Oryzias latipes: one gene and its partner. Each later gene encodes a partner of the first gene's protein in a complex. Links are inferred from orthologs where the notes say so. Each region holds a gene or a part of one and is shown on either strand. Other genes may lie near its edges. The genes, in order: ints2 and ints12.

Region 1 (3,922 bases):
ACATTTTCTATTGTGACTTTGGTGCACCTTCATTCTTTTTCTCTTCTTTCACTATCAAATGTAAATATAACCTTTTTTTTTCTTTTTAAATGTATCCATGGAGATGCAGTTAGTATTTTAACTTTTCGGCTTGTGCTGTTATGGGTAACTACAGCTTTTCAGTGGTTTGGTATAGAGATTTGTTGTTTGTTTAAATGTCAGGTGCCCTTCCTGACACGAGGCACAGGGAGACCCAGATGGGCAGCAGTGAATGGTGTTGCCTAAGGACCAACACTGGATTTTTTTTTTTCTTCTTCTGCCAAAGAGGTTTAAAAATGTGACTTATTTTAAGTTTTTGCTGTGTAACTATTCTCTGCACTGGCTAGGACTAATTTGAAGATTCTCCTAGTTTTTAAATATCTTAGTGGATTTCAAATCTATGAGATGCAGGACTCACAGCGAGGTCTATTCAGGACCACAGTCCACATCTGTGTTAAAATTTACCTGAGAGTTTCTGCATCTGTGGACATATTTAAATGTAAATGATTTACTTGCCTTTTTAAGTTATTATTTATGTAACTCATTTAATGTCTTTTTTTTTTGTAGCTTTTATGGTTTATCATTTTTACCCGTTCCATCTTTTAATAATCCATACAGTTTCTTCTCAAACCTTTAGCCTTGAGCCTTTCCTAGCCTTTTTATATTTATCTTTTGATTGTTGTTGTTTTAAGTCTTTTGTGGTTAATGACTTTTTATGGTTTTCAATCAATGTTTATGTATGTCTTTATGTCCAGCACCTGATGTCCAACACATTTGGGTGATAGTTGCTCCACGGATTGATTGATTGATTGATTGATTGATTGATTGATTGATTGATTGATTGATTGATTGATTGATTGATTGATTGATTGATTGATTGAAGTAGCTAAATTAGTACAAGGTAGATCCAAAAAACAAAGACTGTTGGGATTTTTTTTAATACTTTCTAATGATGACTGTGTACTATTTATTTCACTTTTACTTGTGTCCTTCCATCACCTCTTTCTCTAAAGGAGTATTGGGACGCATATTTATTTGTTTATTTGTTATATATTTATAGGAAAAGATCAACATGTTGGGATATACTTTGTCACTGGTGGATATCTGGTTAAATGGGAATCAAATGTGAAATTGAGCTCAGAGAAATAGGGTTTAATAATAATAATTATTAATTCAATAATTCAATTATATAATAACTCAATTCTGTCACAATTATTATAATTGTGACAGCTTTTTGGGGAGTTTACAGAGGACGTAAACCCTCGCAGCTGTCGCAAAGCCGCCGGCATCCCTCAGGACAGTCTCCTGTCGAAGGAGGACCCGTCACGTTCACAGTCAACTCAGTCCGGGAGCTAAAAGCCCCAATGGTTGGATTTCTCTGGGAAAAACTGAATATTTTCCATAAGTGAGGTAAGAATTCTGATAATGGAAGGAAATAATGGTGATAGGTATTATTGCAGCGGAAATAACCCCCTGAGAGACTCCACTAGTCTTTTTTTGACTTTTTTTTTTTTTAGCTTCGCGTTAGCCGCTACTAGCATGCTAAAGTCAACTGGACGTGTTTCAAATGCCGGCTAGCTACTAGCATCGCCGAATTAGCGCCTTATTATTGTGTCTAGAAACGTCCAAATCAAACTTTTCTGATTTTTTTCCGCAAACTGAGAAAAACGCACTAATGTTTTACTAAAACAGTTTACGTCAGTGAACGTTTTTAGTAATTAGAGGCATTATTGGCTACCCATCTTTGTGTTAGCTACATCATGTCAATCTATGGACCCTCTTCACTGTTCATCCTACTTATTTCAGATTTTCCAGACTTTTATAATATTCTAAAGTAGTTCTCTGTTTTAGTACTTTTTTTCAGTTCGGTTTGTTTTCAGCAGAGGTCGGGTTCGGCCACCCTTAAAAAAATCTGTTGTCTCTCACAGGGTCTGTCTGGTATTATTGTTTTGGGTTGCTCTTAAAAATCATTAATAGGTTTGTTTAAAGTGAAATGCAGATTATACGATCAGCTGAGAAATGGTTAGTACTTGGAAGGACGTTCTGTGATCCTGGAGCAATGTTGTTGAAACGACTTGATGTTACAATCCCTAAAATTTACCACTTTAACTTCAGAAATTCTTGGACGTTCATTAGGTTTCACATGCGAGATACATCGTCAGTTGTGTACCTCAAAATCTTAGGGTGTTTTGAGGTAGACCAACCACAGGTTGATCAAGCCTGGGTGTTTGTCTCGCTGTTATTTAGTCATTTTTGTCCATGTGATGTCACTTCTCCTCAGCCACAGCTTGTCCTCTAACCGGTGTTGGTCAGTTCTTTGATAGCCTGTCTGTTTGCCCGTCCTCTGACTCCAACCTCTCTGAGGAGCTTAGTAGTCGTACTGGACTAAAACACTGCAAAAATCTGAATAAAATCTCTCCGTCTTCTGAAAATAAGCTGGTGCTTCAGTCATTTGCTGTGTGCTGCAGCTCGTTTTCCTTGTCCCACAGTGTCCTTGCCCACAAAGAGATGGGGGACAGTGCCGGGCTGCAGTTTGTCAGCTCCTATGCCTTTGAAGCCATGCAGAAGGTGGACGTGGTGCGCCTGGCCGCCCTAAGTGACCCGGAGCTGAGGCTGCTGCTCCCGTGTTTGGTGAGGATGGCTTTATGCGCTCCTGCTGATCAGAGTGAGTCCTGGGCTCAAGACAAGAAGCTCATCCTGCGCCTGCTTTCTGGAGTGGAAGCCGTCAACTCCATCGTCGCGCTTCTGTCAGTGGACTTTCACGCTTTAGAGCAGGATGCAAGGAAGGAGCAACAGCTGAGGTAGGGCTGACTTCTTTTTTGTTTTTGTTAGTCATGTAATTTAGTATTTACCTGTCTTTGTTTTAGCAGTACATATATAACATTTAGCCTCTTCTTCCAGACACAAGGCAGGTGGCTCAAATGGAGAGAGCATTCTGGTGTCACAGCTTCAGCACGGCCTGACCCTCGAGTTTGAACACAGTGATCCTCTCAGAAGACTGCGACTGACCCTGAGTGAACTGCTGGCCATCATGAATAAGGTACAGTCTTTTGTTTGTATTCCTCTTTCATCAAAGGGAAACCTTTATATGATTTATTCTAAATCTTTTTTCAGTATTAACATTCTGTCTTGCTATTAAAGTCTCTGAGCACCTTTTGATCTATTGTAAAAAGTTCCCAGTGGTCTTTGATTTATGATTATGCCGTTTTTAGCCGAGATTTTTTTAAAAAAAAAACTGTTTTCTAGAAAATAGTTCCAGCAGAGGTTAAAGGCCTGTTCACACCGGGACGAATTTCGCCGGCGATTTTCGCCGACGTTTAACGCCTCGTGACTAAACAAAGGGCACCAACGAGAGTGTGCACACCGACGCGAAAAAACGCCAAGCGTTAAAGCGTCAAAAAAAAAAACGCCTCGGGTTCGTTTTTTTTTTTCGACGCGTTGCGTCGAAATCTACTCGACCAATGAGAATGGCGCTTTTGCACACGTGTCTGGAGCTTCTGAAGTTACAGTAAAACACAACTTGGGGGCGCTCAAACACAAAACTGCCTTGCTGAGCACACATACCAGCGAAGAAGATAGACGCCAAGTAGCGTCTACACAGCCGCGAAGCAATAATGACGGACATTCTAAAATATCCCCTTACCAAGTACCAGTTGGAGCTACTGGTGCTTGAAATATTCATGTTTTCTTTGTTTGATTCTGACAAGCGTGTAAATACTTGCTCTCTTCTTCTGAGTGAAAAGCGACTTTAAGAAGCGTAAAGTTGCGCAGCGCCACCTTGTGTACAGGAGTATTTCTGTTTTACATTAAGCGCCATCTAATGTCAGGGAAGGAAATTGCATGTTCACTCCACTCATCGTCAGCGAAAATCGCCTGGGTGTGAACACAAAAAACGTGGCGAAAA
Region 2 (3,922 bases), on another chromosome or scaffold:
CTATAAGAGTCAATACCCGAGCACAGGAACAGCTCTCACCATGCGTTTCATTTGCCTGGTACAACGAGCACAGTACCACACAAGGCGGGGGTCGTTGACCTCTTTGTCTGTCACTTGGGGCTTGTGGCAGTCCTGGTGGTACAGATTATGACACTCCTGACACTCCACCAACTGGTTTCCCATGGTCACCGTCATTTGTCTACAGTTCAGAGAAACGCAGACGCAAAAACAGTTGAGTGAAGAGAATTTCATACCAACTCGCACGTTGTAGAAAGAGAAACTGGATCCACAAACCAGAAAAATGTGCAAATAACAAAGAAACTCAAAGTTTCATTTCATTTCATTTGATAATTAACAAGCACCTGCAAACCACACAAGCCAGTCCCATTTCCATGGCAAAGTCGTCAGCATTAGTTTCATCGTAGTCGTGTATGTTGGGCATGAGGTCCTTGCTCGTCTGAACAGTTATAGGGGACGAGCGATTGTCCGGTTTCTCCAAGCGGGACTTTTTTGGAGGATCCACTTCAGACAACTCCACCCGTATCTATTTGTCAATGAGACAGAGAACGTATGAAATTTGAAAATTCATACCAACATTGGTGTTCAATCACACAAGCTGTTATGCTTAAAATAACCACAGATTGAGAAGAAAGTCCCAAGCAATGTCTATTATTATTATTTTAAACTAAGGATGTACATGTTTGTTAGAAATGGACTTGTTCATCTCGCTGTGGCATCATTTAGTTCATAAAATAAAGTAATAATATTCAATTACAAGACCCAGGAAAGCCATAAATCAAGACTTCGATTATTCATAAAAAAAAACAACCTTTAAGTTGCTGATATGTTAAAATAATGACCCATGTATGTTTTCTTTTTCTCTTTCCCTGATCAGGCATCCTTTTTCTGGTGTTAAAAAAAAGTCTCAAATTTTATTCCAAACATTTTTTTTTTGAGTGTTGTCATTTCTTTTTGCATTTGTCAATATTTTATGTCTCTTCAGGGCTTTATTCCTAAATTCTAATGATTGACAATTGTTGCAGCTTTAATTGGAATCAATGTAAATCCTGAAGAGAATTAATGAGTACAGTCCAATCATGGCACATGGTGTCATCTAAACATACATGATAATGTGACAACACTTTTAATCCCCCACCTTCTCTGATGGCCTCTTCTCTGCTTCTTTCTTGCTCTTCTCTGAACTGGATTTGGAACTTCCACTGTTGCTGGAAGATGGAGTGCTCAAAGACTTTGAGTCTTGCTTAGTCAGGCTCAGTTTGGACACAGAACTTTTTGGCATTTCCAAGTCCTAAAGATGAACACAGCAGAAAAGAGGAGCAATAAGCTCCATACGAATGAATTATCACTGACAGCGTAAGACTATCTTTATAAGAAGCGGATCTTACTTTTTGTAATGAGCGGTAGGAGGAGTCACCTCCTCTCGCAAGGGACTCATCGAGTAAAGCTTTGAGTTTCTCTGCTGAATCTTTGTTCTTGGAGTGCAAATAACCCAGAGCCTTTAAAAAAAGGGGGTCCAACTCCAAGCTGACAGGTCCAGCCATGGCCTAGTTAGAAAATGATTGAATAATGTTAGGTTTTCATTGACGTCTGCAAATTACAAATGTACACTTTGCTACAATACAAAACTATTTCATCTTATCTAGATTGCAAATTAAATATACTAACTATAATAAAAAACAAAAACAAAAACAAACATTTATTAAGTCAGTCACACATGTTTATAGGCGTCTGGGAGCATTTACAACAATGAATATCAATGATGAGCATATTTATTCAAAGTTATAGTTTGCTAATTACAATTGTAATCAAATAAAGCAATTTACAATGAACTATAGGCTGTCAAAACTAACAAAAAATACAGCAACCAATAAAAATGTTCATTTTTAAGAGTTTTGCCTAATAATGGGTACACAAAAACGGAACGTTTTTAAGACTAACCAGCTATTTTTCCTTATTTGCGGTATTTATTACAAGAAATCCTGCCTCTGCATTATTTACTACAAATATATAAAGAAATATGATGCCTGTGTCTATTAAAAACAACCCACAATGCTCAAATCCAGTTGGTAGGGTTTAAAGTAATCGTTGGTAGCAGATGGACGGAACAATATCACTGCGACACCGTAGGTAAAGTTATCTTCCCAAATGTCACCAACACGTCAAAATCCCCAGTCTATAGCTTTAAATGGGTAATCCTACCTCACACTCAGTTTCTGCAAAATGTTGGTCTCTGCTGTAGATATTTCTGTTTAATAGAACTCTTTCCACAAAGAGGAAATCGCCGCTGACGTTTTATGTCTTTCACAATGTGCACCCGATAAATGTGTCCGGAATCTAAGTGGGCGGCGCAAGTAGAACAAAAAATATACTTCACGTAATAGCAAAGCGAATTTGTTTTTTGTTTTTTCACTCGTATTTTTAAATAAGTTTTATTCTAACCGACTTTCTATCAATAAATGCATTTAAAATGTATATATTTTAACGACCAGCTGGTGGCGCTGTGGCAATACTCGACTCAATAACTCGTAGTAGAAGAAGAAAAAGCAGCACGCTGATAACGTGATGTTTGTAAAGTAGCCGGTCTGTATGACTTCTTTCTGACTGTTTTATGGCATTATTAGCAGTTGAAAAGACAAATAGTGATAATAAAAAATACTTAAACATATTTCTCCCATTCACAGCATTTACCATGACACACGCCGAACAACCCCCGTGCCTCTACTTAGAAGTTTGCAGCCAAAACGAGCAGCTGCGTCTTCCCCTGCACTCTTCTATAGTTCTGTTTCTGCTGTCTTACTGCGACTGCGAGTCTTTCAGAGTGTTTCTCGTCCTTGGCGACAGCAGCAGCTCCGAGCCTCTGAAGAGCCAGCTTCCAGCATCTGCAAGTCTCTCAGACGTCCAGGTGGACGAGCTGCCCAAACTGGTGAGCAGCTGCCGCCTCCCCGCTGCTCTGGATGAGAGCGCGCAGATCTGCAGGGCCGGACTGGCGGTGGTCCTCAGACACATCATCGACAAGAGCATCGAGGCTGACCCTTCCAGGAAGGATGTAGCAGCTCTGCTGGGCTTCAAAAAGACCTGCTTAAAAGCCTGTGCAGAGGTTGGTGCAATTACACTCTATCACGTCTCTGTAGGTTTGTTTTGGTTGTCAGGATGGAAAAACACAAAAAGTCTTTATGTGTGTTTTGAAAATATGAAAAGACCGTGATGCTTTGCATTAAAGGGCATCAAAGTTATGCAGTTTTACATGAAAGGAACAGCTGTTGTGTTTGTAGGCAAAAAGATGCCACAAAAATGACACCCCCCCAACACAACACCAAGTATCATCTTACAGTTTCAGGTCAATGTTGCCATATGTTACAGAAAAACAGCAACATTAATTATCAGACATTTCCCCCCGGTGACAGGTGGTGCACCTTGCCAACAAATTATGGATGTAATGATTAATTGACTAAAATCGAATTTTATTCCTATGATCCAACCAGATCTTTCTGACGCAAGCTGTTAATTGAATCGACCTATGAAATCATTTCAAAATGAAATAAATTGATTATTATCAATATTGGAAAGTCCCATTTGGATTGAGGCCTTGTGGGTGTATTTTACTATAACATAAAAACTGACAGAGTGCCATTACAGTGGGCAACACACATGTGATGGCAGTAAAAAAAGATACCTACAGTCTTGTCAAATTGACTCCATCATTGAACACCTAAAGGCAGGATTTGTTGCTAGCAGTACAAGATGACCCAGACCAAACTGCATCTACATATACAGTCAGGACCATAAATATTTGGACAGAGACACATTCTTTCTAATTTTGTTTCTGCCTGGAGTTGATTAGAGGACTCGTGCTTGCATTTGGAAGATTTTGCTGTGAACAGACAACATGCAGTCAAAGGAG

Evidence for each region.
Region 2: ints2 (region 1) and ints12 share a complex: the UniProt entries of both Homo sapiens proteins name them as parts of the integrator complex. The link is inferred for Oryzias latipes from reciprocal best matches to the Homo sapiens genes INTS2 and INTS12.

Annotation. Positions count from the first base shown.
Region 1 is NC_019872.2:22,024,916-22,028,837, forward strand, and holds the start of ints2 (integrator complex subunit 2), read left to right. Parts: upstream 1-1,211; 5' UTR 1,212-1,428; intron 1,429-2,486; 5' UTR 2,487-2,526; coding exon 2,527-2,819; intron 2,820-2,919; coding exon 2,920-3,058; intron 3,059-3,922. UniProt on the Homo sapiens protein: Component of the integrator complex, a multiprotein complex that terminates RNA polymerase II (Pol II) transcription in the promoter-proximal region of genes.
Region 2 is NC_019859.2:15,819,832-15,823,753, forward strand, and holds the start of ints12 (integrator complex subunit 12), read right to left. Parts: upstream 2,713-3,922; coding exon 2,710-2,712; exon of another isoform or gene 2,703-2,709; intron 2,602-2,702; exon of another isoform or gene 2,446-2,601; intron 2,340-2,445; exon of another isoform or gene 2,221-2,339; intron 1,566-2,220; coding exon 1,407-1,565; intron 1,310-1,406; coding exon 1,157-1,309; intron 545-1,156; coding exon 363-544; intron 200-362; coding exon 40-199; intron 1-39. Other genes in the region: gstcd (glutathione S-transferase C-terminal domain-containing protein), read left to right, coding at 2,711-3,118. UniProt on the Homo sapiens protein: Component of the integrator complex, a multiprotein complex that terminates RNA polymerase II (Pol II) transcription in the promoter-proximal region of genes.